Linked DNA regions of Mytilus edulis. The protein of the gene in region 1 purifies or fractionates together with the protein of each later gene. This does not show direct contact. Links are inferred from orthologs where the notes say so. Each region holds a gene or a part of one and is shown on either strand. Other genes may lie near its edges. The genes, in order: chromodomain-helicase-DNA-binding protein 1-like and aprataxin and PNK-like factor.

Region 1 (16,436 bases):
TTTTTGCTTCGCACCCTATCATATTTTCGTATAAATCAGGCTTCCCACATAAGCAAACACATTCAATCTTTCTCTGATGTATTTTAACATGAATGTCAGAAGGAAGGCCTAACATCTTGGGAAATTCAATAAGAGATCCTTGTTCCAAACAACTTACAAGAATTGTTTATTTAGACTAATGATCCAATTATCACCTAATATCAATATTCTGTTTATAGTCATATTTCAGAGCTTCAAAGAACTTTATGTGTTATTATCTGGTGACATTTACACGCATTTATCATTGGCGCAGATTTAAATTTGACATTTAAAAAAACATTAGACGAGTTTATACCTTTTCAAATTTACCTCGTGTAATTTACCCCCCGCGAAGGCAATCCGTCTTGTTCTTTAAAAGCAGTTAAAGCCCCACCTGTTATAATCCAAACCTTTAATTATTCAATATAATATAATTCTTAGTGATTAATCATCATTTCTTTTTAGATTTTATCAATAAAATTATAGAATTTGACTGTTGAAGTCGGACTATTTTTTGTGATGACCGCCATTTGCAAATGGCGCACTTTTTAAATTTTTGAATAAATGTCCATGTGTACCCCTTATATTGTATAACTTCTGTTTTCACTGATAGTATATACTGATGACAGAACATAAACTAGAAAAATATTTGAAAAAGGAATTTATTCCCCCAACAAGTCCAGCATCATTGACTCCTGTGATTATTTCAGATAGCAAGGGAAGATATCTTGAAAATCAATGCACTACAGCTTTTGAAAAAAACATTAAGTGGTGGTATAAATCAGGCCAAACTTCATCACAGGGTCTTGCCTGGCTAAAAAACAACTTAGCATCTAAAATTGGACACTTGGATAACATTTCTCTTTATGTTTGGTTGGGAACGTGTGACCTTACCTCTTATGATCGCAGCTCAAAACTTGTCTCTCTAAGACCAAACCCTGAAGAAGAGGTACAAACTGTCATAAATAATTTCAGAGACATAAAAGAATTATTATCAGCTTATCCTATATGTAAATTAACATTTTTGGAAATTCCTATATTTTCAATTTTCGAGTGGAACAAATCTCACGATCACCCAAGTCCAAACCAATTTAAAAATCAGGACGATTCATTAATTGTCAACATAATTGAAATTAATCAGCAAATTCGACAGCTTAACAACTTAGTTGATGTAGGATCACCAGCTTTCTCCCTTGACATATATCATTCTGTAGCCTGTAAATCAAAAAACAGTCGCAAACGACCAAGAGATTTATACAACTTTAATTTATATATTGATGGTATTCATCCGAAAATCAACCTTTCAAAAGTCTGGCTGCGAAAAATTTCAAACAGGATTAGAACTGATTGCTGGCAATAGGTAGTGTAATATAATTCAGTATTCATATTTATTCTACAATATAAATCTATTATTATTTACTGAATCTATACTTATAGGCGATGGTGGGTCCTACCACAACGTCCTATTTGTATTGATTTATTATAAATTGTTTGACAATTAGTAGTCTTATTTCTAATATCAGACTCTGTATGGACGTAACTTAGCATCTGTTGAATTTGATATATAAATATATATACGTGGAACAGCTCATTATTCTACATAAAGTTGCTTGATTCTTTATTAAATTAAACAATATTATCAAATCATGGATTTGTGTATAACAGTTCCGCAACATCACAATGATGACCAAAACAACTCGTCAAAAAATTCTGATGCTACTGCATACAACCAAAGCTATGTCTTGAATTTAAAGAAATCTCTAAAGAAGAAACTTGATTGCACAAATAGAAATGAAATCACGTACAACTTTACAAAAGGAGGTATAACTATACAGCTTGACCCCATTTCATTCGAACTATTTATACATGCCTGTGATCAATATTACAAAAACCCAGTTACTAAATTGGATAGTTTCAATAAAACAACAATGAAAGACAGAATTGGTAACGAAACTCAACACATATTTCGTGTGTTTGATAGTCCATCGTTAGGATATACCATTAATGCATATTTAACCAAATGTAGCCTACTTATCAATGGTGGCAATACCAAAATGCTATTAGAAAGAGATTTACAACAGTTACAACATATTATGGATAATACAAAAATTAATAACTCCTGTATTGACATTCATATATTAAATAAAAAACTTGCTCATACACTCAAACAAGCTCTACAAACTTGGCCAGTACCAAATCATGTGACTGATGATAGAGAAACTCCAAGCAATGTGAGTACCACTGTAGGTACAGAAGAGAAATGCTATGTATGTAAGCGCAACTGCAAAACAAGAGCAGTTCAATGTATTAATGGGCACTGGGTTCATTACAGATGTGAAAGACTATCAGAGGAGGATATCTCAAAACTGGAAAAGGGGGATTATCCATATTCCTGCCGTTCATGTAACAAGGAAAATGAGGTACACACTTTAGAATGCAATGCATCACCCCAAACAGTCCAAAAACTTGATATCCAAAATACAGATCTAAGTACCATATCTAAACATCTACATATAAGGAATAATGTTCTGGCCATAGAACAACATGTTCTTGAAGACAATGTGATCTCTAATGACCATATCTCTATTGCTGAATCTCTCCTCCGTGAAGAAACAGGCAAAAATTGCCCTTCTTGTAACTTCATTCTCGATGATGAGTGTACATGTATGATATGTAATGATGCATTCCATAGTAAATGTATTGACAAAAACACAGAAACCTGTTATGGATGTATAGGTGCCAATCATCAACTTTCATTAAATATCTCGAAAGAAAAACCTGAAAAGAGCCATGACAATACCACAGAGACCCTCACTAATGTAGATGACAAAAGTAAAGAACATCTCTATAACAACCCTACCAATGTTAAATCCTCTATATCCTCATCAAAAGCAAATAAGAATAACCAAACAGCTAATGAGCCTGACAGCAACAAACAGGAGACTGTCATTCCCAAAGAGATAAGGCAGATAGAACAAAAACTAAAGAAAAAGGAAGAGCAATTGAAAATAAAAGAGGCAATTTTAAATGAAAATGCAACAGAAAAGACCACTCTTCTAGATAGAATACTAAAGGCTGAAAGTAAGAATATTGAATTGGAACATACAATTAGAACATTAAATCAAGCTATTGATAGTAAAATTAAGATGAAAGAGGAAAACAGCAGTGATGACATTGTGGTAGGAATAAGAGACAGGGTAACAAAATATGTTTTGACAAAAGTGGATCAAGAACTGTCGCAACTTCTGGGCATGGACAAAAATAAGAAGCTTACCTCTTCAGCAGCTGATTATAATCCATTGGGTAACGGACCAAATATACAACAATCATATGGCAATCACCATTTATCTCACGATCGTTCCTCAGGTGATAACAGATATAATTCCCAGAATCACAGGCCTTATATGAATCAAACATATCACCATATTGATGACTCAACACAAGATACTCATGGTCGTCAGGGGAGCGATGGTGGGCTTTACCACAACGTCTCTTCTGTTCGTCCTACGAGTAATTTTTCTTATAATTCTCATTATCAGGATTTAGGAACACAATTACACCAACCATACTATCAAAATGACTATTATAATCAATATATGTATAGACATCAGGGAAGCGATGATGGGCCTTACCACAACGTCTCTCCTGATCATCCCACAAGGAATTATAATTATAGTTCTCATTATCAAGACTTTGGAACAAACCAACCATACCACCGTAATGACTATATTAATCAAAGTGTATATAGACATCAGGGAAGCGATGGTGGGCCTTACCACAACGTCTTTCCTGATTGTCCTACAAGTGACAAATGTCATAGCTCCCAAGATGAACAAATTTATACATATCAACCACATACTTATGATCAGTATTCAACTCCACAGGAACCAAGAAACTGTGCAGGTCCATCGAATCAAAATGCTTATAGACATCAGGGGAGCGATGGTGGGTCCAACCACAACGTCTCTCCTGATTGTTCTATGAGTAACAGTCATAATAGACAGAATGATGTGCAACATGGTTACCATCAGACCAACTATTCAATGTATGCATCAAGAAAATGCGCAGTTCTCTCAAATCTTATTGAGATTATTCCAGCACAAGACCCAAATAATCACCTTTGCTACCCCTCTTCCAATCAAAGTGCTGATATAAGAAACAAATGTGTCTCTGAGAAAAGAATCAAACCTGTGTATAATGATGACGTATATCAATACCTAGAACAGTATCATGACGATCGGCAAGGACAACCCTTATTTTATACACAAAAAGAGCAGCAGCAACATTTTTTAGTACAGAAAAGCCTCATTCCAGAGAGGCACAAAATTGTATAACTGTCTGCTTAAAAGAAAAGCAAGTTAATGCTTCATCTGATGAATGTTCAACTGTAAATAAACACAGCAATGTAAATAATATGCACCATGTTTTAGATTTTAATACAAAATCTGCAATTGATAACAGTAATAATTGTGAGTCTACAAAAGAGAAGGATATATTGAGTGTTTTAGATTTTAACTGTAAAAATATATTAACTACTGTGCCTCTTATACATGAGATTGAGAATAAGATTGATATAATGCTTATACAGGAACATTGGCTTTTTGATTGTCAAATACATCTTTTACAAGAACTGCATAAAAACTTCAATGGAACTGGTAAAGCGGTCGATATGAATGATCCCATTCCACCAAGTCATATGCCTCGAGGTTACGGAGGAGTGGCTATCCTTTGGAAACGTGAATTAGACGATATAATTACTCCAATGCAGCTAGGGAATGAAAGAATACAATGTGTGGAAATTAGAGGTAATCCCAATACTATATTAATATCTGTCTACCTGCCATGTAGGAGCTCTAATAACCATTTTACTGAACTCAATGAATGTCTGGACCACCTTCATGAAATTTTCGAAACCTTTAAAAACTCTCATCAAATTATAATAGGTGGAGATCTCAATGAAAACATATACAGTTCAACAAATTCTCAACGAAAAACAGCCATATCCAATTTTATGTCAGAACATAAACTTTCAACAGTTGAATGTGGAATTACTTTCATACACCCAAGTGGTCAAGCCATGTCCGCAATAGACTACATTCTATTTCAAGATCACTATAAGGAAAATGTTATCAAGATTGAAAAACAAGAAATAAATAGCAACGTCTCTGACCATACTCCACTGATGTTGTCATTGAAATGTGACATATCCTTTAAGAAGATGAAAGAACTTACTAATACAAAAAACCTCAAAGTTAATTGGAATAAGGTGGACAAGAATGAATATAAAACTTTGATTGATGATAAATTAGAGAAAATCAAACCTATCTCAGAAAAATTGAATTTAGATCAAGCATTTGATGAACTAAACAAAATTCTATCAGATACAACTTCAAAAATTGCTCCAAGAAAACAAAAGGGTAAGAAAAAGAAGAAACTTCCAGTGATGAATGACGAAATCTTACACGCTGTGAAAAGAAAGAAAACTGCCTTCTATATTTGGAAACAACAAGGTCGACCAAAAGAACCTGGTAACTTCTATCTTAAGGAAAAAACAATCACCACATATGATCTCAGGACACTATGTAGAAAAGAGCAAGCACTAGAAAGGATTAATACTAGACAACAAATCTTGGATGCTAAATCCAGTGATACAACATTATTTTATAAGCTAATTAGAAAACAGAGGGGGAAAATGGGTAGATTTATTGAAGAACTTATAGTTGAAAATGAAACATATCAAACATCTGACAGTGTATTGGAAGGATGGACAAAACATTTCGGAGATCTTGCCAAAAAATCTAACTATCAAAACTTTGATCAGAATCATTTAGAAGCAGTTGAGGTTGAAACAGAAATAATATTAAAAATATGTAAGGAAAATTATTTACATGAAAAAGTCTCAATCCAAGAACTGAAAAATGCTGTAAAAAAATTAAATACAAATAAAGCTATGGACTTTTATGGAATCACTGCTGAAAATTTCATTTATGCCAGCGAAACACTTTTAGAGTATCTTCAACTTTTAATTAACACAAGTTTTGAACACTGCTACATACCAAATTTACTAAAAATTGGAACCCTTTTTCCTGTTTTCAAAAACAAAGGTGACATTAAGAATGCTAAAAATTACCGTGGGATCACTATAACGCCAACTTACTCAAAGATAATAGAGATTATAATTAAAGGAAGGGAAAATAATAAGATTTTGGAACATCAAAACCCTTTACAAAAAGGTTTTACGGCAAAATCCACTCCATTGCTTTGTGAATTGTTCATTGAGGAATTTGAAAGAGAAAATAAAGATCTCAAGTTACCAACCTATGTTGCATTACTGGATGGAAAATCTGCTTTTGATGTTGTAGTTCATAAAAACCTGATACGACGTCTTTTCCAAATTGGATTCTCACAGCAATCTATTTTACTGATCAGCAATTTATATGAAAATGCAACATCCTGTGTAAAATGGGGTAATACAATGTCAAATCGATTGTTTAATATTGAACAAGGTGTAAGACAGGGTGGAGCCATTAGCGCTGACCTCTACAAAGTTTATATCAACCCCCTACTACAAATTCTCAGCAACTCTGGACTGGGAGCCAAAATAGGAAATATAAACTGTTGTGCGCCAACTTGTGCTGACGATATTGCCTTGATATCTAACAATCCGTTTGAACTCCAAAATATGATAAATTTAGCAGTTGATTTCAGCCAAAGAGAGGGATATCTACTACAGCCTCAAAAAAGCGTAGTCTTGCCAATCAAAACATGTAATAAAATGCTAGATGTTGAACAAGGTTTTTGGAAACTTAAAAATATAGATATGCCCATTGTCCAAGACTCCTCTCATATTGGAATAAAAAAATCTCAAAAAGATTCTACTAATGCAACCATCACTGAAAATATAAAAAAGGCCAGAAGATCTATGTACAGTCTTATGGGTGCTGGATTACATGGGGAAAATGGATTAGACCCGGAAACAATAGTCTCCTTATTTAGAACGTATATCTTGCCAGTTTTGACCTACGGCCTAGAAGTCTTGATACCAACAGGCAAAAATTTAGATCTTATACAACAGCAACATAAAAGATGGATTAAACAGATTTTATCTCTCAAACTAAATGTGGCTGACCCGGCTGTCTATATGTTATCAGGTTTGCTCCCACTTGAAGCAGAGATCCATATTAAAATTATTACACTATTTGGGAATATAACCAGATCTGAAAGATCGTCCTTAGAATGGAGAATAGCTGAACGACAACTTCAAATTAAAACCTACTCAAGCAATAGCTGGTTTATTGATCTAAAAAAGATATGTGGCAAATATGACATCATAGAGATAGAACAGTATCTTGATAAGCCATTAACAAAAATTGAATGGAAGAGATTTATAACCAAAAAGATTCACAAGTACTGGGAGGATGACATAAAGACCAAAATGAAGGGGTACTCAACTCTAAAATATCTTAATTGTGAATATGACATTGGCAGAATTCATCCTTTACTTAAAACAACAAGTGCAAATATAACGGAGATCAAGAAACTGTCAATCTGCACTAAATTTATTACGGGTACCTACATACTACAATCTAATAAAGCGGAGTATTCAAACTATGCAACAAATCCGATGTGTAGACTCTGTAATAAAGCTGACGAAACCATTGAACATTTTATCTTATTGTGTGAAACAATTTCACAAATAAGGTCATCCCTTATCGTCAAAATTCTACACGAAGGTAGTCTGGTCTTAGCAAGAGAGAGCCTGCAAACTCCTATTGATTTAATAACATTAATCATTAATCCTTATCATTACCTACCAAAGAAGATGTGCAAGGATGTTGAAGATAGAGTTGGTAATCACTTGGTACCGCTATGTCGCCAACTGTTATATACACTTCATTCCAAGCGATATGATGTGTTGACAAAAGCTGATACAAAAGCAAACAGAAAATGAAGAACTGTGAACTCATTTTAGCTGTAATATATACATGTTGGGGTACACATGGATCTCCCTCTTTTAGAAGTTTTAAAGTCTATTAAATTTTTTACGGATTGCACTTATAAACTTTCCTTTTTTTCTTTTTTTTTCCTTTTAACAGTGTTAAAAAATAAACTTTTTTTTAATATATAATTGTACTTATTGTCTCTATTGTAACTTATTTTTAACTTATTTTAAAATTAGTTTTTACCATTTTAATTGCATTTGAAATATTTTTAACACTGTCGTGGCGTAAACATGTATGTTAAATAAGATAACCTTGTGTATGACTATTGTGAACTGTGAATTTACCTGTGTACATATATTGGTGGAGGAATTTCATTGACGGAACTACTTTCCTCTTTACGGAGGTGTGCCTTGATTGGCAGAAATTCGTTTACAGATTACAGATTACAGATTACAGAATACAAGGTGTGAATTACAACCGGCACACGTTCATGTAATTAAAACATTTCAATCGACGAACTCTTTAAATTACATATGGTTTATGGGGAAGCAATACTAATACTTTCATTTTATAAATAAAGCAGTTTACGACCAGCTTTACTATAGAATAAGAATAAAATATATATTAATGTAGTTTAAGCAAGTTGTATTAGTTTGAATAATTTCAACGGACAATCTTCCTTTTTTCCCCCTTTAGCTTCAGGATTCATCAATAACAATGTAGTTTCTTTTCAAATATGTTCCTGTATAAATATAAAGTCATTCGTTCTCTTCAATAGACTTTTGTCTAAAATAGAAACAAATAGGAAAACAATGTTTTGCGAGTTTAAATACAACTACCCCTATAATCCATTCATGTCTTTTATTTCACCGACAAGGTCCGAAATTTGTAACTAAATAATTATATTTTCGATAAGATTCTTTATAATTTCAATGATATATTATACCTTTCCTATAACAAAATTCATATTTCAAGGAGAATGATTGAAATCAGTTAAAGATATTGAATAAATCTGACCGCAGTCTTTTCAAGCAAATTTATGTTACTTAAATTTCCGTTCAGTTCCGAGTTTTCACACCCAAATGGTATTTTTCATATTTTTTTTTAATTTTATCATTATATTGAACTTTTTGTGTCACAAAATCAAAAGTTGAAAGATATCCATTGAATATTAAAAAAGTTATTGTAGTTAGAATTAGTCCGACATAGATTTTCAGGTCCCTTCAGGTCTTTTCATTTCTCCGTTCAGGTCCAACTTTTGGCATCAAAAACTTGTTTTTTATTTAATTTTTTTAAATTTTAATGAAATATAAATATTTACAATAAATAAAATTCCAACTTGAAGAAATTCCATTCAATAATAAAAAAGTTATTGCAATTTGAATAATTTTAGTCGTATATTTTCAGGTCTTTTCAGGTCTTTTCAGGTCCACTTTCAGGTCTTTAGTGTAACCCGAGTTTTCTCCCTTTTGTTTATATTAGTACCCTGGAAAATGCAAGCTCAACAAAATATTCTGAACTCTTAAGAAATATTTAAACGAAATCCAGATGGATATAAGCGACAGCGAGGATGAAAATGTCACAGAGAAATATATTAAATCTAATAAAGATTTGAATGCGATAGGATGGGCAGGTAAGAAAACAAGACGTTTCGGCCTAGTCTGGTGACAGATCGTCTTTTGTTGATTCAGACTAGGTCGTTTCGGCCGTGTATCACTTTTTAATTCAGGTCAAATAGTTCTTGCTTTTACTAATCGACTTATTGAAGTCATAATTTGTCTTAAATGAAAGGGAGACAAATCTTGAAACCTACAAATTTAGACCTCTATGAGTTAAAAGCAAATTTAGACTTAAATTAGAATAAAATAATCGACCACTTTTGAGTTTGTCCGTTACCTGAAAAAAAATCATCAATTATGCGCACCTTTATGACGTCATTTACCAGATAGATGGGATCACCTGTATCCCTGCACCATATACGTACATCAAGCGTCTGGGTGATCGTCATTGTGCAGGATAAACTAGAAAAAATATTTGATCTGTAGGTACTTAATCACAATTCCCTAATGACAGCAGTGCTGAATAACTATTATGAGAACTTAATTTGCCGAATAATTTGTGCAATATACATGATATAGCTTTATAGTTTTCCAACCACTCGCTTAACATTGGAACGGGAGTGGCAACACCCCTAAACGCACGAATGATATTCACTAACACCAAAGTTTTTGACTGAAATGCATCGAACTTGAAAGTTGTTTATTTATGTCTGAAACTCTTGACTGTACAGCAATAAGCAAAATCAAGCTATAAACAGCTCTAACATGATGAATATAAAACAATCAAATGAGAATCTACATGTATATATGAGATTTATTTACCAAAAAATAAAGAATTTACTAAACATGCTAAAACCAAGTCCAAATACAATAGCTGCTAAAATCATGTATCAAAGACTCAAATATCAACCATTACATATGGACCATAATTTGCTATTGGGCTCGTTTCCTATAACTATAGAAAAGTGATAAAATTGTGAATTACTGTAAGAAAAGTTGTAACTACATCTAAAGATGCCATTATTTTTATCAACATACAAGTGTATGCTACTCTTCCCTAGAAAAAAAATTGAAATATACAAATTTCAAAGATTCTTTAACCGTATTTTTGTGTCGTTTCTCACGTTACTTTTTGCTTCCGAAGAGCATAACGCTGACTGATTTATAGATAATTGTCACCGGCAAATTCGTAACTTTTGCTTTCAAATAACAAAGAACATCGACCAATAAGAATAGTCAGAAGAAAATGCTGAGAACTATAAGTATTTATGTAGCAGATGTAAGAACAGTGGGATGACTTTTGTGTCCGATTTCGTAACGCAAATTTTAGATGATGTAATCTGCTTTGTTGTAATAGAATTCTTAAAAACAATATGCAAATATGAACTCTCGCGAGATGTTCAAACAGGTAAATCAGAGATGATTTACATTCTTGTTTTGATCTTGATAATAATTAGGTAAGAAAATGACGTTATCGTTATGCGTTACATTTCACACGAAACAGAAGTCCAGTTATTTATTAAAATTGTTTTTGTCCTTAAGTTCTAATCATTTCCGGTCATATGTGAAACATGTGACTAACATGTGATCACGCCATTACAGCCGGACATACGATATACTACCGGTAGTTCTAAACATTGTTTTTGTTTCCAACGGGATGTTAGCAAACATAATCTGTAGACTTGTTTTGACTTGTTAAAAAAAGGAAAATATAATTTTCAAAGAGATTGCGCCAGGGGTCTATTATTTTTCCTATGTGCATAATGTTACATACGATCTTGTGTGAAAATAAATGCCCAATGACTTGACAAAATCGATTTCAGATTTGACCGACGTTTAAACACACTACGTTTCCCAATAACGATGTAAAGGGTCCTTGGTAAATTCAATCGAAATTACGTCTCTTATCATGGTGCCGATGTTCGTTGGATTGATTTTGCTTCAGCAGTAAATATTACTGGATATTTTAGGTGAATAAAGATAATTAAATGAAAAATGCATGTTAATATACAATGTACCGTTACACTTGGAATGTACAAAGTTGGTAACTTTGTCACAATTTTTAATTAATTTTTTTATTCATGTTCTGCAAACACTTTTCAGAAACGCAATAAACTTGTCAAAGGAAAAGTAAACTTTTACCGGGCATGACTTGAAAGGAAGTACTTTATTGATTTTAGCCCACTAAAGTAGGTTAAAATGTGGAAACCATGTAGATGGTGTACAGGTCACAAATATCACATGGTGCCTATTTTAAAGATTTTAATTCCAAGTTAAAAGTTTTTTTCTTTACTGGATTTAAAGAATTTTACATTGCCAATGATTTGGAATAAATTTTATATAACTGGAATTTCAAAACCAAATATAAATATATTTTTTTGGCCAAAACATCAAGATACAACGATTATGGTATCCTGTATCAATGAAGAAAATATGGAAAATTCTGAATAAATTGTACTAATTGTTTTCAAAACAAGCACATATTTAGGAGTTTTATAATGTTACATTTAAGATGGATTTTAAGAAAAAGTATACTGTTCAGATTATTTTAAGCAGATTTTGCAATAAAATAAAACTAAAAAAATGCTTTTGGTTTCTTGTGGTTTCCTGTCACGTTTAAAAAAAACTTTAATATAACATTGAAAATAGATTTTAAATATTAACATGAAGCAAGTAACACTAGTAATGGTGTTTATTTATGCCTTTTGAATTATATTGTGCAAAATAAAGAAAATAAAGATTGGTTTCCTGTTTGGTTTCCTGTCACGTAAACGGTGAATCAAAATGTATTAATTTTTTCTCGAAAAACTCAATTGTTCCATTCATACTATTCTAACACCAACACAACCCACAAAATAAAAGTTAAAATTTTAGAACTTATAAGAAAGGATACAAAAAGAAACCAAAGGCCGAATACCAAATTATGGTCCATATTCAATGGATTAAGTGTATAGACGAAATAAACTATGTACAAATATTAATTTGCAGATGGTATTCCTCTGAGAATTTACCAGTTATCCGGAGTGAACTGGTTGATTGACTGTTACAAGAAGGAGCATGGAGCCATCCTAGGTGATGAAATGGGTCTTGGTAAAACTTGTCAGGTATTGCAAACACATAAGATCTGATGAATTTATTTATGGTAATTTTAACTAAATCTATTTTAGATGCAAGCCAGTTAATTATAGTAATTACAAAATATTTAAGAGTTAAATTGATATACAATAATGGCATATGCTGGTAATTTTAGAAGCTACAATTTAAAGCTCTACGGGACGAACATTAAATTCTAGGGTTGTGGGTCATGCATACATGTATCACGTTTATTGAGTATTTTACTAAACATGGTGTACTATTCACAGATTTCTTTTCTTTTAGACCATAGCCTTTATTCTGTATAATCAGAGGTCAAAGAAGAAAGCTCAACCAAGTCTAGTTGTATGTCCACGATCTGTGTTAGAAAACTGGGATGCAGAAATTAAGAGGTAAATTAAAAATTGAAAAATTCAGACAATAAGTTAGAGTAGATATTCATATGACAGAAACCAATGATAGAAGTAGTTGTCAAGTGGTGACCTGTTATCCCCCTAAAATCCATCCATTCATATGATTATAAAATGGCTGTTAGATGGTCCTTATGTATTGTTCACATTTTGATATTTGTTGTTCATGGTGTTGTCCACATGGTTAATATAGATAGGACTTTGTTCAATTACAGTAGACATACTATAAAGTTGCTTAAATTGATTTGAAACTCTCCTTTTGTTTTGCATTCAATGCTTTTGAATGGTGACATATTGTTGGAATCCCCCTTTTAAAAACAGCTATATCTGCTCCTGTTTGTCTGAACATCACTTCCGAAATTGAACTGTTGATTGATTATTATTTTCAGACATAAAAAACTATGAATAAATATTTATTATTTACATGATTTAAGGGTATATATAAGTGTTACGAATTAACTGCAATACAGAGACACTAATTACTTATGTTGTTAACATAACATATTGTAACATCACATGTTTCTTACGTCTTTATATGCATTACGTATTTAGTCAGATGAGTAAACAATCAAACTATATACACGTCTTTATATAATTTACACAACAAGAAAAGTAATACCTCTAATCCCAAACAATAAGCAACTGTTTGTCAGAATATCAGTACTGAATCGGAAAAGTTTGATTAATATTTTAAGGCAAAAAAAATCTATAAATACTATTTAAAAAATTGAAAACAACACATTTAATAATTTCCTGCATCCGAAGAGCTTTTCTGGATTTACCTTCATCAGGTACGCTCAAAACTAAACATTTGAAATCCAAAGATGTATAAGTACCAAAACTGTTGAAGAGCTATATGTCAAAAAGACCTTTAGAAAATAAATAGCCAAATTCATCTGTAGCCAACTTTGCCTGAGGGAGTTAAGGGTAATTAAAAGCACCTCAATTGTTCTATTTAAATTTGTAGGTTTGCACCGACTTTGAAGGTTTTATGTTATACAGGAGACAAAGAAAAGAGGAACGAGTTAGCTCAGAATATGAAGAATAAATCCCATAATATCAATATACTGGTCACAACATATGAGGTATTATATGACTGTTTAATGTCTTCATATGGCTTGCATTTAATAGATCATACAACATTTATGGCAACTGAAAACAGAGTTTGGATACATGTACAAATTATGTCTGGTCATTATCAAAACAAAAATGCACAGGGCATAGGGGAACACATAAAAGCCCGAAGAGTTGTCTCCCTCTATTGTTAGGCTAGCTTAGACACTGCCATACATTGGCTTACCTTCTGCAAAAATGTAAACCGAGTCAAAAATAAAGAAATTTAAGATATAACATACAGAAGCTATAGGAAGTTTTATGTCCCCATTTTTCTATACATTACACATGTACAAATTGATTTAATGAAAAACATAAAATTGTAAATTATCCAACAACAAAATGCATTTAACATGTTTAAACAGACTCTTTGACATTTTATTTATACATTTTACAGTTATGCCTGAAAGACAGTGGATTTTTATCGTCTATTCCATGGTTGTGTTTAGTAGTGGATGAAGCTCATAGACTAAAGAACAATGAATCACAACTTCATCTGACACTGAAAGAGGTTTGTTAATGGGTAAAACTCATTTTAGGTAGGCACAAAGGATAGCCTTGTTTATGAATTCCTCTGCCCATATCTTAAACTTGCATATCTTGGCTTGTTTGTTGCAAAGCTGAGACATTTCCAAAAAAAAATAGCTGAGTTGATATGTATTATCTAAATACAAATAATGAAAAGTAAGATTGAGAATGGAAATGGGGAATGTGTCAAAGAGACAACAACCCGACCAAATAAAAAACAACAGCAGAGGGTCACCAACAGGTCTTCAATGTAGCGAGAAATTCCCGCACCCGGAGGCGTCCTTCGGCTGGCTTTCAGAGGTTTCCCTCCTTTTTGTACTAAAACATGCTCTTTAACACTTGTGTTGTGCAGGGTGTAAATTTGTGGAAATACAAATACTAAAAAGAAATAAAGCTAAATTAATGCCTTTGGAAATGTAAATGTTTAATTTTCTATCAAAAAGAGAGAGAAAAAAAAAACAAGATGCAATTATTTCACATAAAACCATTATAATGAAATAAAATGTCATGTATTTTAAGACACATTTTAATACTTGTTGGGTTTATAAATTACATGTATATTACCTTAGACCATTATGTATTTACAGTGGGACATACCACACAGTGTGCTGTTAACAGGTACACCTGTGCAGAACAACCTCCAGGAATTGTATTCACTACTCAGTTTTATAGCACCAAGAAAATTTAGAAAATCAGGTCAAGAAAAATTTGTCGATAAATTCAGTGACATGGATAAGAATGGTAAGTTGGATGGTACTGAACTTTAAAAATAAAAAATGTTATACAGACACCTGTCTAATCTGAACGATAAGTAAACAGAAACCTGTCTAAACAAAATTTCTTTGAAATCAAAACCTTCATTGTAATGAAACCCTATAAAACTTAAAAATCACAAAAACAGATATCTGCCTTTAATGAACACGATCAACAAATCACTGGATTGTTTATAGAGAAAATGGTGTCTGATTCATTGATCATCAACTTGTATACCAATACTTTTCTATTCTTTGCATTATGGCCATGAATGAATGTTTGTCATATTTTTCTAAGGAATTAGAAATAATAGTGTCCCAATTTTTTTTCTGAAATTTGTTTCAAGGCTTCTGTCAACCTGCTATACTGTGAGACATGGTTTCAGATTCATTTCTCATCAACTACCTCTTTATATTGTTACATACACATACTGGCAATACTTGTTATATTCTGTAAATATTTCTAAGGTACTACACACAAATGCTTCTGACATTTGTTTTCAGGCTTCATGTAAATATGTTAACCATGGAATGTGTTTTCTGATTCTTTTTTCTTCAACTTGAATTTTGCTGAAAACCTAATGCAGGAGTATCAGCAGTAAGCAATAGCTCACAGTTCCATTTGTTATGATAAAAGTATAGGGTCACGATAACTTTGTGGAAAACAATATTTTTTTATATCATTTATACCTACAGGTATGAAGGAACTTCACAGTTTGTTAAAACCTTACCTGTTAAGGAGAACAAAAGATGAAGTATTAAAGGATCTCCCTAAAAAGTCAGAGATTGTCATGTTTCATGGGATATCGAAATTACAGAAAAAATTATACAAGGCAATACTTACCAAAGATATCAGTAAGTCTTTTATTGTCCTTTAGCAAATGTCCTTATATTGTGTGGTAAGGATGTATTCTTCTGATATTTCAGTTTCATTGAAATCTGGTTTGGGAATTATTTCCAAAACATGTAAAATAAATGCCAAATATCAATGGATTTAAATAATACTATTATCAAACTAAA
Region 2 (16,061 bases), on another chromosome or scaffold:
ACTTCACAGGATTAGAGACTACAAATCTATTTTGATATATTAACAAACCTTTTTTCTGATCCATTGACAAGGCTGTATTCCACTTTGTAGAACAACTTATCTGGCAACAATCCAAAAATATCTCCATCTTTAAGTTCTATCCTAACATCTTTAGTTAATGATGATGGTAACTCATCATCTTCATCCTTCTTGTAAAAACAAGGATTACCATGTGTCTAGACAAAAATATAAGGAATATGTCAAGGTCACAAAGTTTGTGTCCAACAACCTCTAAAGCCTGTTTATAGCAAAAATTAGTTTTGTGACAAAATCGCAAAAACTTTTACTTCATCTTTAATATTCTCTGTCATTCTCCTTTTGGAGAGTAACACTAGTTTGTTGAGGGGGTAGGAGGGGTCCTGATCCCCATATCCTGGGCTTAAAAACAGGAAATCCTGAGGTCCTAAATTTAAATAAAATTAAATAGCGACATCCCGAAGTTCGAATTAAAAATTCTTCCATCCCAAAAGGGTCATTCCAGAAATCCTGAGCTTAAAAACACTCTACCCCAGAATCCTGATAAAGGTTCTATCCCCCCTCAACAATGTTGAGAGGTAGACATCAAATAATTATGTAATGCTTTTGATATTTGTTTATTATGTTACAGAGCTATTTGAACAGAACCAGTTCAGTGAGGAATATTATACAGATATGTTAATCAATTCATAATTTAGTCGAAGTTCTATATAGTATGATATATATTCATTTATTTTTGCTGCTATTAATTTTTGTGGATTGAAAGAAACTGCATTTTTCAGGATGTTTGATTTTGTGGCTTTTCAAAATTCTGTGTACAAACATATCATGCCTATAGACATTTTGATATTCATTCAACATTAAATTCCTGGTTCATCTTAATTCCAAGTTTATATACAAAATCCATGAAAAGCAGTATCCCAGGAATATTTATAAATCTTTAGAATCAGCCAGTTTTTCGAATTAGTTGCAGAAGATTCTCAGGTCAATTGTTTGGTGTCTACTGTTCAAACCGCATCAGGGCTATTCCAGCAAAAAATGTATGGGGGGTTGGAAGGCAGTTTTTGTCAGCACCCGCCACTCAGACAATTGTAATTGAGAATTATAGTGCATTATAGTGTGAAAAGTTGCTCTGATAGACATCACCCATGTATTATTAATATAATGTGCCTTCCAACCCCCCCATACATTTTTTTCTGGAATAGCCCTCACTAAATTCTATAATTTCACCAGATCCTGTCAGAGAATATAAATAAATCTTGTTAAGTTTTATAATTTTAGATAAGTCAGGGTTATAGATATGTCATCTATACTCACAGGTGTTAGATATAACTTATTATCTTCTACATCTAAAATTCCATGATTTCTGGATACTCTTTTATCAGATACCTGCAAAAGACAAAATATTATTAAACTGGTACACGCTACATAAAGTGTTCATTACAGTTGCAAAAAAAAAAATTTATAAGAAGACCAATGCTAGATCTGGACTAGTGTCACTGCATTAATCAAGTAGGGTAATTTCAACATTTGCATGTTACCATCAAAATGGCAAGACATGCCCGCAAAATATGAAACTATTCTATTGAGAAATCTAAAGCTTAACAAAGCAATTTCTGAAAAAAACCAAATATGATAGACATGGACCCATTAATTACAACCACCATGACCATTAAACTCTTAAATTGGGACAGGCACTAAAAGAATGTTGGCATGGGTTGTAGTAGGGGAGCAATTTTATACATAAGATATATACTAAAACATCACTGATCCTTCTCTTTCGGTGAAGCCTTGAAAAGTTTGAAGAAATGTTTCTTCAAACAATGAGTGTTGTAAGATTTCAAACATAGAAAGTAGCTGCATGGGAGATGTAAAATTGCTCCCCCACTACAACCATGCCAACATTCTTTAAGTGTTAAAATTAAAATAGCAATACTTCTAACATGAAAAGTGAAGCAAATTATTCAGTCAATGAACCATGACTGAAGTTACAGGGCAAAACATTTCCATGGAAATGAGATGTGCCAATGCTAATACATATGCATACCAAATATCATTGATCTACAACTAGCAATTCCCTATAAACTAACCTAATCACAAAACATTGTTGACGACACTGGAAACATCATATCTATGTCTTGCCTTGGGATTTGTGACAAGATTAGACAAAATGATCTCCCTTTGACATTCTTTTAAAGGAAATTTCAATCTCTTGTTTAATATATGTTTCTGTGTACATAATCTACCACTTATATTTTTGTCCATCTGGTCCTACTAAAAAGCACCCAGGAGCGCCAGAGAGAAAAAAAAAAAAAAAATTTAATAATACAATAAGTGTTTTCCTGAATAAAAAAAAAATATAAATCATTGCTTGTTTTGTCAAAAGTGTATAGATAGTGTTGTTACATTTTAGATTTCAAAATTGTATATAAGTAAGCCATAAATATGAACAAGAGGAAAAAGAAGAATCATGAAGGATATTGTCCTCAATCAAAACGTATATTTCGTTATTAAAAAAAAATCAGTGCCCGAGGTCTAATATTCGCAACTGCATGGTGAACTCTTCAAAGTTTTGTATATTATTAAATACTTGTTGACATTTAAAGATCGTGGAAGGGTTTTAACATGCCTGTCACTAAGAAAAGTTAACCTCACTGATTTAGCAAATATGATATTCTGGCCTTGTGGAATATGCCGTAAAAATAATATTTCAATAATATTTGTTTTATCAGTTAGAGCTCAGACATAAACAAGTCGATTTTTGTTTTTGACTTAAATAAGTCAAAACATGTATTTATTATAAAAATGTAGTTTCAATTTTAGACTTATCTAAGTCAGAAAATGACAGACTTGTTTAGGTCTATTTATGTTGGTGAAAAAACTTAATGTTACTTTGTGGCCAAACTACACCACCTATGACAGCAAAAACCTGTATGAGAGTTCACAAGGACTTGAGCTATCTATATTTAATTATCTAAGTGGACATCCTTACTAAACACAGATGTTTTACCTCATTAAGTGTGATTCCAGGTGGTTGCATTGTAAGGTTAATTAACATTATCTCCGATTTTTTAGACTCTCATTCATATTTTTCTATAGAAGACAAAGTATTGGCTTTCAATGTTGTCATTATTTGATTTAGATGCATGACCTCCTTATAAATATGCGTGGGTCTTGAAGTTAACCAATTTTGATCACTCATCGACTTGTAGGAGTCGATATTTGCAACTTTTTGATTCTGGTCAATTATTTCTTGTTTAACAATATTGGACTTATTCAAGTCGTATTTTGTCTTACATTAAAGGGAGACAAATCCTAAAACTTACAAATTTAGACCTCTATGAGTCAAAAGCAGAATCAGACTTATTTATGTCTGAGCTCTGACTGTTTATACCAAACACCAGCTTTTAACATGCATAGTATAATTGTTTTATTTGCTGATGCTGATATACATGTGCGTGTCACTTTTATCGTTCTAAAATAATGTTTAACTCTTTTAATTTTATAAAATTAATAAATATCTGTGAAATTTAAGTTGGTTTGGCATTGTTCATTTTGATATCGTTTTTGAAAAACATGTCTTTTTAGCATTATAAGCTGTGATCCATTATTATCTGTCTTTCGAAATAGTATTCATATATTATTGTTTAACTTGAAACATTCATACTTGTTTTTGACATTTTGTGCTTTATTACAAATGTCTATTATCTGAATTTGCAAAATACTTGTCTAAAATTAAAAAAATCAAAGCGCTGTAAGCACTGAGGGCAGTTAACCAAAAACCAAGGCAAACGTATTTATGAAAACTATGGCAATGTTGCTTCAACATTAAACATTCATATATAGTATATTTATGTTTATCTAATGAATTAATTATAAGGCAAATAATTTATATGTTATCAAGGTTTCAAAAGCAATGCATCTATCAATGTATATCAAGTTTTTATGGTGAGTCTGCAGTGGTACAAGTTCACAATGATTGCAGTTATTCTACTTGGTAGTTAATGTTGGTTTTAGTTGACTACTAGTAGTACAAGTCGTCGTGTGAATATTATAATGTTATAAGTCCATTTTACAGTGGAAATGAGTTATGGGTGTCAATAGTTTCGTGCTGCAATGTTTTATCTCCCTATATATTTAACCAGGCTTAATTATCTTCAAATTTGCCTAAAACAGTAGTATTAAAATGATATATCTCCAAATACAATGTTGTATTCAGAATTATAGTGATCTAAGTACAAACCAATGAAATTGACGGATTCTGGGTCACATGACAAAAGTTTACCAATGGAGATAGTATGAAATGAGGGCATTATAATTTAATAGGACTTTATGGCACTTTCATACATAAATATAGTCTGTATATTATTATTATTAATTATTATTAATATTATTGACAAAATATAGAAATTTTCAAATGGTCCAAGTGACAGCTTTTTAATGAATAATAGCAAAAAATATACATTTTGTTTAGCTGAAACATATACAGATCCCTTTCATATCATGTCATGAACTTAATGTCCAACTGTTATGATGATGTGCTAATTATGATTTGTTTATAAATCAGCATCCTATAAGGAGTAAAGGTGCCATTTTTGTAATTCTTTAGTTTTATATTCATAAAGTCATTGTCTAATTATTATGTGTCATTTTATTACTGTCCTTTTAGAAAAAGAATGTCCAATGACACTACATGCCCGCCAATGATCTGTATTTAAAATGACTAACAGTTTGTTCAGACACAGACCCATTACAGACTTAACCTTAAGATCATATCAAATTAATTTTTACATTCTTATCCCCATCCGTTCCAACCAATTAGGTTTTTTATGTATTTTTACAAAGTTCTTTGGAATCTGTAATAAAAATACGTAAAAATAAAATATAAGAGTCCAACTCAACCCAATATTTTCAATTTAGGTGGATGAGAATCTATCAATTAACTTGATCTGGCCGTACCCTAACTTTGGGTCTTTAGCATTGACTTTTTATTACAAAAGACAAAGTCCATAAGTCTTGACTTATTACGACCCAAGCATCAACTTTGCATCAAACAGTCCACATCATAAGCTATCTATGTACAAAGCTGCTTGGTGATATCATAACTCTTATATCAAAAACTTAAACCTGAAACTTAACCTGGTTTTTTAACATTGAAATTCTATTAAGAAAGACAAAGTCAACGTGTACCTTAACCTTGCAAGGACAGACGCATAGACAGAAGAACTATACGTCCAGTTTGCCTTGCAGGCATAGCTATATAGTTCAAAGAAAACATAAGACACTATTTTAACCAACAAGATTGTGTATGGCCTTTGTTTCTACTGCCGATTTTATTCAATTTTAATGGCATATACATTGCCCAGTAATAATATTATAATGTTTTATGTCCAATACCATTTTAATTCTTTCAACTTTACTTATCACAAGATTAAAATGTACTATCTCCAAACTTGAAATATGAAATTGCCGAAATAATATATACTTGATCAGATTTCTGAAAAGGACAATTTAATCAGATGTGTTGGAACTAGTATTACGCATACTTTTTGCATAGCTCTTGTTTTATATGACTGGATATCAGACTGTCCAACTTTAAATGCCATTTTCTCAGTTTTAGAAAAAGGGGACATAAAACATTATAATATTCACACGACGAAGTTGACTTAGTACGAACATGTTAAATGTAATAGTATGAATGGACTGGTTTCCCAGGAAAGAAAACTGAGTTTGTGTTCTATTGTACAAAAGTTATGAGACAGGAATCAGACAAATGTTCACTACTACATGTACTACCTGGATCAAAGGTGAAGTTTGAAGTCTGACCTGCACATAGTAAATGTGAATGATTTGTTATTTTGTCCCATGCATGAATATATATGGTTTAGGGGTAGGGATCTCATCAGTTTCCAGGTTCTCAAACAGGAGGGGGTAGGGTACGTGACCCCTATATTTCATTTGAATTGTTATATTTCCCATACATGAACATATATGGTTAAGGGGTGGGTATCTCAACGGTTTTTAAATTCTCAAACAGGAGGCGTTGGGGTGACCCAAGGGACTCCCCCTATATTTCATCTGATTTTTTATATAGTCCCATACATGAATATATATGGTTTAGGGGTTGGGATCTAGACCGTTTTTAAATTCAAAAACAGGAGGGGTGGGGTGACCCCCAGCGACTCTCCCTATATTTCATTTGATTTTTCATATTGTCACAAACATGAATATATATGGTTAAGGGGTGGAGATCTCGACCGTTTCCAAGTTCTCAAACAGAAGTGGTGGGTGACTCCAGGGACTCCCCCTATATTTTATTTGATTTATCATATTGTCCTATACTTGAATTTATGGTTTAGGGGTGGGAATCTCGACTATTTCCAAGTTATCAAACAGGAGGGGGTAGCATTGGCAGATCCAGGGGGAGGCTGGGGGTTGGAATCCCCCTTTTTTGTGCCGATCAATGCATCTGAATGGGTACATATAGTTGGAACCCCCACCCCTTGGTAGAGTGGCCTAAAGGACGCCACCTATATATCATATGATTTGCTTACATTCAGGTATTATATAATATAGTTAAATAAAGTAAGAAACTTCAAGCTTCTTTAATTGACCCTTCAAAATTGAGAAAAAAATAACCCTTCAAAATTGAAGTAATATGTTTACACTTTAAAAGCATCTCACATGCATTATCATCATTTATCACTGATGAAGAAAATTTATACTGTGACCATGAACATATATATTGTTAATAGATATATACTGTTCCCAGCTGTCACATTGTATTGGATTTTGACATTAAAATTTGTCAAAAAGTAATTTTGAGTGTCTGTATAAAATATTTTCTTCTTTTTCTTTCTTTAAACATATCATTTGGTTTTCAATTCTAGCAGTCTAGTGTTTATATTCATTTACCATGCATAGATGTATTTCGTCACCTGCCTGGATTTTTTTATAATTGATCGCCAAAACCCAGAATTGCCCTTATCCGCTTCCGGAATCAGATCCGATATGGTAAAATTTTGTCTTCACAGCAGCCATTATTTTGGTGTTTACAATATTGTTTTTGTCAATCAGATAAGATTTTACTCGAATTTACACATTATTTGTCGGCGATTTTCTGTATAAAGCTAGCGGTTGAACAAAATGAACATCGCTGTCATAAATTATAATGATGAAAATAAGTTTTTAGATCGTTTATTTGGAGACTTTGGTGAAAAGGTTTGCAAAGTTATTTCTTATTTTCTTTCAAGTGGAAGGTTACTCCGTCTGGCATAGCTAGAAACCAAGTCAAATCTCTGCGTGCAAAAGTGGAAGTGCGCGGACCTCAAACCACCGCTAATTTGCACCCCTGTCTCCAAATTGAAAAGATACAAAAAAATTGTCTTCTAATTTGAAATTGCTGCCAACAGCATGAACAGTTGAACTTATTATATAATAGATACTGACGTAGTTGTACTATGTATTGATGACGAGCAATATTCCTGCGACTTTTGCCATTTGGGACATCTAAACTACTTGTCTTAAGAGATTTTTGGCGATTAAATATTTCATACAATTGTTTTTTGACATCTTAGCCAAAAGCACAGGTCATAATTAACTACACAAGGATTCCTAATGAGCACTACTTCCTCTGTGTAACTTCAAAACTTTTGGATGATTCGACGATCACTTAAGGTTTTTCTGGTCATTTTTTTTGTAATCCAGAATAAAAAGTGTTAAAAAGGTGTTCAATTAGATATATATAACATGGTAGCCAGCTAAGATTTTGATCAAGTAAAAATGGATATGCAGGTGTTTAAAGGTATGGAATTATTGTTCTTTTAACCCCCCCCCCCCCAAAAAAAATATGCAGTTTAAACACACAAAAAAACCCATTGCGTACGTCGATAAAAAATCTCCAGTTATGAGACCAAAACTCCAGCTGAAAATTTCCAAATCTCCAGTTGTGGCTTGACAACTCTGTCACATTTTTATTTTCTTTCCAATTGAAGGTCCGTCGGGCGTAGCTTGTAACCAAATCAAAAGTCTGATTGCAATAGTGGAAGGTCACAGACCTCGGACCACCACTAATTTGAACCCCTGCTTGTGGAGGTCAAGTTGTCTCATTTGCAATCATACCACATCTTCTTTTTTTAATATTAAATGATGATTTCTTTATAGTATTTTATCACAATTAAACGGCTTTTTTGTTTTTAGTTTTGTCTGCTAAGTTAAGGTTCATCATAACCTTTTGGCTAAAATGGCCGTATTTACACCCCAAATTTTACTCTGAGTACAGACTAACCTATACACCTGCAACAGTTTTAAGGGATGGCAGGAACTAGATATATAAATTTTAAATGCATTTTATGTTTCAGAAAATTATAAACTTTTCTAGATTTTGCTACCCATTTTTTTTCGTTCCTGCAGAAGGTGCAAAAATTAACTAAGTAGTGAAAACGATTGAGAAGCTCCCCTCATATAATCAATGTTGTGAGTAGTATTGATTTAAATGGACAATGGATGGACAATAGACACCTGTAAACAATAGGTGATTTAACAGGTTTAAACTGTTTAACTGAGTGGACCGTATCAAATGAAACTCAGGTGTTTGTTTATTTTGTTATCTTCTGCAGACTGGAAAAAAATGAAAATCAAAATCCAGGTAAGTTTATAATTTTCTGAAACGTAGACTTCATATAACTTTTATATATCTAGTTCCTGCCATGCCTTAAAACTTTCCTGGATGTACCAGTTTGTCTGTACTCATAGTAATTTTGGAGGTGTAAACACGGCCATATTTTTCAATTCCTTATGATGAACCTTAAACATTGCACTTTCATCTAACATGTCTAATAATTGAGAAACTTAAACTATATTTTTTCTTAAATATGCAAAGGGAGATAATTTGTTAACCGATTATATATTATTTAGCTCAAACTGCAAATATAGAATCACTTTCAGACTTGTATTACCTTCAAGAAAGAGCCACGTCCAATTTTTATAGTTTTTTCTTCAGGGAGATCTATAGTCTCGCCGTCATCCAAAGATACAAGGGTAATTATAGACATAGTGGCATAATTTTTGGAGCCAGAGGGTGAAAGTAAAACGTTGCTTGACGACTTTTCTGCGCTGCAAATGATCGTGTAGCTGTTTCTTCACTTCCTGTCAAGGTTGAATTTGCAAAAATACGGATGCATTAAACTAATGCAGAACAAACAAAGTAATGAATTAATTGCATTGGTGTCAGTTTGCACAGTATAATAATTGTAAGTTTTTAATCAGCGTGGGTAACCTGTCTTCTAGCGTGTAGTAAATGTAACTCCTACCCAAGAGAGCTTTGATTATGATATGTCTTACAACCAAAAACTAAACAAGAACTGACATACAACTGTAATTCAAATGCAGCAATTAATGATGTATATATCTTTAGTTCACTGTCATAGAGGCCATTGGGGGACAAATCGGGGAGTCTCCCCGATTTTTATTTGGCATTTTTCAAAATAATACATCAGAAGAAAAAAGATTTTTTTTTGTATAAAATAATTTATATTATCTTTTTTTCAGATTCTATTTGGGTTTCAGTTTAATTACAACAAATATTGGAATAACTATAAATTGTTCAGGAAGTTATTCAAAATACTAGTCATGGAAAAGGGCTTGATTTAAAATTGAAAAAATAGTCTCTTTAGATATGCTTGAAAAATTATTTGATACTTTAGTTGTTTCAATAACTCTTTATGGAAGTGAAGTTTAAGGTGTAAGCCAAGTGTTCAACGATTTAGATCCATTTGAACATTTACATATTTTAAAATTTATTAAAGAAATTTTAGGTGTACAGTGCAAAACAACAAAGAGGGAGGGTAGGAGGTCCTGATCCCGAAATCCAGGGCTTAAAAACAAGAAATTCTGAGGTCCCGAATTAAAAAAAATTATATCCCGACATCCCAAAATTAGAAAAAAATAATTCCCGGATCCCGAAATCCCAAGCTTAAAAACACCCGATCCCGGAGTCCTGATAAAGTTCCTACCCCCCTCAACAAATGAAGCCTGTTAAGCTGATACAAACAGAACCTTTTAGTACTTTAAAATTCCGCTTTTATAAAATTCATAAACCACATTGTGAACTCACCTAACACTTTAGTCCATAAAAATATATAAAAATGTAGAGAAATTAAGTAAATGGGTTAATATTGTAAAAGACTGGTTAAATAAATTAGGTTTAACAGACCTATTACATAAAGTATTAAAAAAAAAGATCAAAACTCAAAAACTTAACTTTAATATTAAACCATGAAAATGAGGTCAAGGTCAGATGACACCTACTAGTTGGACATGTACACCTTACAATCATTCCATATACTAAAATATAGTTGATCTATTGCTTATAGTATCTGATAATTATATGGACTTGACCACGAAAACTTAACCTTGTTCACAGATCCATGAAAATGAGGTCAAGGTCAGATGACACCTACTAGTTGGACATGTACACCTTACAATCATTCCATATACTAAAATATAGTTGATCTATTGCTTATAGTATCTCATATATGAACTTGACCTCAAAAACTTAACTTTGTTCACAGATCCATGAAATGAGGTCAAGGTCAAGTGAAAAATGTCTGACAAGCAATTTAAAGTACAGACATATACCAAATAAAGTTATCCTATTACCCATAATTAGAGAGAAATTAACATTACAAAAAATCTTAACATTTGTCAAGTAGTCACTGAAAAATGAAAACGAGGATAATGGACGTATGGCAGACAGAAACTTCTTAACATAAGGCATCTATATACAAAATATGAAACATCCAAAACTTCAACCTTCTAAAATATAAAGCTTAAAAGAAGTAAGTTAACGCTGACACTGCTGCCACTGGATCACTTTCCCTATGTCAAGCTTTCTGCAACAATAGTTGCAGGCTCATCAAAAACCAAATTGGTGTTTTGATAACTTGTATAAGCCAGGTTGAATGGTTAATATTTCTTTTTTTTTTGTCTATTCTTAAAAATGCACATGTCTTCTTTGTAGTGTTTTAAATGTGATGTTGCTGTATGAAATCTCCTTTAAGGTATTTGAACTATTATTTTATGTTTCTTTAATCACTCTGAAATGTTTGTCATGTTGATATTAATTTTATGTTCTTTATGGGCCCTTTAATTTGGAAAAAGTTAAAAAAAAAAATATTGTATTGTATTGTATATCATACAAGCATTTTCTGATATGCAGTAGTGGCTTCATGCATGGGCTGCTTTTTTTTTTTATGTCATTCAATTTTAATGTCATGACCACTTTAGTCATGTTGATGTATTTGTAGATCTTGTCCTGCTGATCATTGATTCTTTTAAAAGTTTTTATCTTCATTTGTCTCTTAGACTATTAAAATCAAGATAAAAGGCAAAAACGCAGAAAAATGGTAAAATCATCTTGAAAGGGCAATAACTCTAATCATGAGTCGACTTAAGATTTCAGCTATGAATGCTTATTTATAAATCAATTTTGCTAATTGAGCTTATTGATCTGTAGCAGTTTTTAAGTTAACAGGAAAAAATTCTAAAAATTGTTTTAAACCATAATTAAAGATCAATTCATTTAAAAAGGAGGGGTCGGACATTTTAAGCACGTTTACATATTTGTAGATCTTGTCTTGATGATTATTTTTAAACAAGAATGTGTCCTCAGTACACGAATGCCCCACTCGCACTATCATTTTCCATGTTCAGTGGACCGTGAAATTTGGGTAAAAACTCTAATTTGGCATTAAAATTAGAAAGATCATATCATAGGGAACATGTGTACTAAGTTTGAAGTCGATTGGACTTCAATTTCATCAAAAACTACCTTGACCAAAAACTTTAACCTGAAGCGGGACAGACAGACGGACGGACGAACGAACGGACGCACAGACCAGAAAACATAATGCCCCTCTACTATCGTAGGTGGGGCATAAAAATCATTCTACTAGTATCTATTATAGTTTTCAAAATAATCAGCAAAATGGTACACTGTAGTATTTCAAAATTCTCAACATTTTTGACTCATCAGATCTTCTCTATTCATATTGGTTTTCAAAATAACAGACAAAACTTGTAATTAACCCCTATGTTCTATTTTGAGCAAAATAGGGAACATGTTTACTAAGTTTCAAGTTGATGTAACTTTAACTTCATCAAAAACTACCTCGACCAAAAACTTTAACCTGAACTTCCCACTATCATTTTCTATGTTCAGTGGACCATGAAATTGGGGTCAAAACTATAATTTGACATTAAAATTAGAAAGATCATATCATGGGACACATGTGTACTAAGTTTCAAGTTGATTTGACTTCAACTTTTTCAAAAACTACTTTGACCAAAAACTTTAACCTGAAGCGAACGGATGCACGGACGAACAAACGAATGGATGGACGGACGGGACGGACAAACAGAGGCACAGACCAGAAAACATAATGCCCCTCTTCTATGGTAGGTGGGGCATAAAAATAAACCATATTCATTTGCTTGTGTCAAATCCTACTGTTGTTTTTTTTATTTTTTTTATTTAGAGAATTTATTGTTGATTGCAAATATTTGATAGTTTGTTTCATTTATTCACAATGTTTTTAGAATGTGTGTTGACCCCTTGATATCTTTTCAATTATATTTGTATTCTGGAGTGCTGTCTCATTGACCTATACCAAACACCTTATTTTATTCAACATCATTAGTTTCATAGAAAGCAAATATTGAAAACACAATATAAAGATTTCATTGAGTTTTTATTTTCTTTTTCACAGCCTTCTGTACTTTAGTTCTCTTAAGTTTATCTGTAAGACATTCCAAAATAAAAATTCTGATAACATGATCTATTTCTAGAACTATATCTTCAATGGGTTTTCCCTTAATCTCAAGTCCATGATTTCCTCCTTCAATCCAGTGCACCTGACTTTTGGTCATGTGATCAAGGACAGGTAAAAACAACTCCTGATCACACATATTATCATCTGTCCCACTAACGAAAAGGACTGGCTTTGTGACATCATTAAGTGGACCATCTCGTAACTGTTTGAAGTCATTCGGTTTATGTAAAGGATATGATAAACATATGACACCTTGTAAAAAATCGGTCATCTTTGAATCACAACAAACACCAACAGCTGCCCTTGATCCCATGGAACGTCCTAAAACCAATTAATGTATACAATTATAATGACTATGCCCTTTTTGTTTATCTTAAGCTTATCACAATATGTAAATGTACTATATAGATGACATGGATACACATGGTTTATTATATAAGAACGTGATAAAAGATAAATAAATTAAACAGCACGTTTTTGTTGACCTGTTCATTCTGAGTATGGCACAAGAAATGAAAATATATCATATGGGAATTGTTTAGTGTATACCTTATACAAGTAATGACCTGAAGACAAAATTAAAACTTTTGGTTTACTGAAAAAATAATGACTCTTTTAGGAATTATACTTAGTTTTGCTAAATTAGTTGTAAGATTGCATTTCAAAGCAAAAAAATAATTCTAGAATTTGGTGGTGAGTAGTCTCATTGTCAATCATACCACATCTTTTTAATTATATGTATTTCATTTTGCTTCTGTATAATTATTCTAAATAGCACTACTAAGCTATTAAAACAACATTTTTTTCCTAACAGTACAATGAATGTGATACTTTATATCTGTGAAACTTACCTCCAATAAAACATCCCTTCAGATGAGGATAATTCTCCTTTACATAGTCCTGAAATATACAAATTTCATGTAGTTGACAAAACCTTTTCCTTCTTTGAAACACAAGTTATGAGTTATCTCCCATGAAAATACAGAACAAGTCACCATTCAGTTTTGAAATAACTTTTCCTTTAAATTAACAAAGGCTTCAATTTTTTAAAACCATTTTTGTCTGTTTCTTTAACTTAACTGTTTGAAAATATTTTAAGCAAAAACTTTTTTAATTATTGAATAACTTGCAAAACAAAGTTGTCAAAGTGGCTTAATTGACTTGCGTAATTCATGATGCCAAGAAACATATCTCTTGCATGATTTTCAGAAGATAAATTAAATACTGATTATCTTTGATACTAGACTAAATAAATAAATTGTAACTCTCTGCCCATTTACCAGTATCTGTTCACAGTTCAAACATATACGTCAATTTTGAAAAATAAAAACTTTCAATCCATATTATTTTTTGAAATCTGAATAAAATACGTTCTTTATGCAGAAATCTCATTGGAAAAGAGAAATTTCAACTTTGAAATTCATCAGAAAATACAAACTTTTGAATGTCAAATTATAATTCAGAAAAAAAGTTGTCTTTACCACTATTCCTGTAAACACTTTAGTCCTGTAAGCAAGGTTCAATCCTTTACAGGTAAAACGTAAGACTAAATATCCAGCTTTAGCCAACTTCTCTGCAATACCAACTAGCTGTTTATGGTTCATGTGCCCTCCTGCACCATGTGTAAGTATAATTCCATAGCCAATCTTAGCAGGATCATTATAATAAGTTAGGCAGGCTTCATACTTCTTCTTTCCCAATTCTATCGTAATACACCTGTAATATGGGCATAATTTACGTAAATAAAAATGGATTCTGCCCAGCAGTTTTCTCTGCTGGTGGTCTGATATAGTGCATTTCAACTTGGAGGAGGAATTGGATATTTACTGCTGAAAAGCAAATACATTAACTTGAAATTCAGTTGTTATGTGCAATCATTTGAGCACTATAGAAATACACATGGAAAAACATATTAGAGCTGACATATTCATACCTCTACTACTACATAGATGACATTTATTGACAAAACAGAAATTAGGGTCAATACTAGGGAGACCACAATGGCATTTATAAACTAAAGATTCAAACTTTAACAGAAATCCAGTCAGCAATTTAAGGAATGTTGCAGATTATAGATGACAGCAAACAATCCCTAACAATCTTAGGTAAATTTAAGATATCTCATAAAGGTTATGAGATATCTTAAATACTTTATAAGATATCTCTTAAAGTTTGTAAGATATCTCACATACATGTAGTTAATGAAATAATCTTTAAAGAAAATTATATATATATATAGTTATAATATAGTGTTATTAACTCATAATGTTTCTGTTTTGGCACTGGTATAGATTAAAGGTTTGCTGTATTGGCCTCGAGAGAGCTGCCCGAGAATCTATACAAGTGCCAATACAGAAACAGCCAGTTCATAACACTTTTATTTTATATAAGATGTCTTATATAATATATAAGTATCACAATTTATCTTAGGCCACACCAATTTAATTCCTTGTTCGACAGACCCGCCCGCACCTATTTTTTTCAAAACAGAATTTTTGTTATTTTTTTTATTTTCCTGCTTCCCGCATCCGGAAATGTAATCATGTCTATTTCCTACACTGTTTTTTTGTAAATATTTTAAAAGATATCAACATTTGATTTTAAAATTGCAGTCTAACCTTGAGTGTATATAATGATTTTAAACCTATAAGCACCCCAACACACTGTGTAAATATCTGTGACATTATTTGTTTTAGCATGAAACCAATTTATTCCAAGAGGGAGTGCTCCGATATAAATATTTAACAGCGGAAATACCTGTACAGAACAAAACATTGGTTCCTTTCCCCCTTACTTATATTCCCTATCAAAAAATGTTCGTTGTTAGAATAAAGAACAAAGAACTTCTGAAGGATTTGCCTTCAACTGCAATTATATTGCATGCTGGCGAAACAAAACTATCCATAGTTGCTGCATGTTTATGCACCTGCCCTGATTGATTAAGGGGCCTTTCGTTCAGCAGTTATGGTTTGATGTTTGGTTCATTGGTATTTTCCCACTATGATATATAAATTAGATCGTTGGATTTCCTGTTCGAGTTGTGTACACTAATAATTTTTGGGTCCCTTATAGCTTGCTGTTTGGTCTTGATCAAAACCCTGTGTAAAAGGCCGTATTTTGGCCTCTGTTTGTTATTATCAGGTTGGGAACAACCCTCCCTCAGACAAGGGGTCATTTTACTGATGTAGAAAAGAAAATAGAAATATCAAGGATTTG

Evidence for each region.
Region 2: the proteins of chromodomain-helicase-DNA-binding protein 1-like (region 1) and aprataxin and PNK-like factor purify together in Homo sapiens (affinity purification with mass spectrometry; 4 studies listed by BioGRID and IntAct, counting the BioPlex papers as one, with this or other methods). This does not show direct contact. The link is inferred for Mytilus edulis from reciprocal best matches to the Homo sapiens genes CHD1L and APLF.

Annotation. Positions count from the first base shown.
Region 1 is NC_092350.1:3,583,459-3,599,894, forward strand, and holds the start of chromodomain-helicase-DNA-binding protein 1-like, read left to right. Parts: upstream 1-9,416; 5' UTR 9,417-9,509; coding exon 9,510-9,594; intron 9,595-12,508; coding exon 12,509-12,624; intron 12,625-12,898; coding exon 12,899-13,005; intron 13,006-13,990; coding exon 13,991-14,108; intron 14,109-14,533; coding exon 14,534-14,647; intron 14,648-15,251; coding exon 15,252-15,405; intron 15,406-16,112; coding exon 16,113-16,271; intron 16,272-16,436. Other genes in the region: uncharacterized protein MAL13P1.304-like, read left to right, coding at 641-1,298, 1,684-4,352. UniProt on the Homo sapiens protein: ATP-dependent chromatin remodeler that mediates chromatin-remodeling following DNA damage.
Region 2 is NC_092346.1:42,452,063-42,468,123, reverse strand, and holds the start of aprataxin and PNK-like factor, read right to left. Parts: upstream 9,334-16,061; 5' UTR 9,069-9,333; coding exon 8,973-9,068; intron 1,405-8,972; coding exon 1,333-1,404; intron 216-1,332; coding exon 49-215; intron 1-48. Other genes in the region: testis-expressed protein 30-like, read right to left, coding at 12,754-13,166, 13,697-13,745, 14,327-14,561. UniProt on the Homo sapiens protein: Histone chaperone involved in single-strand and double-strand DNA break repair.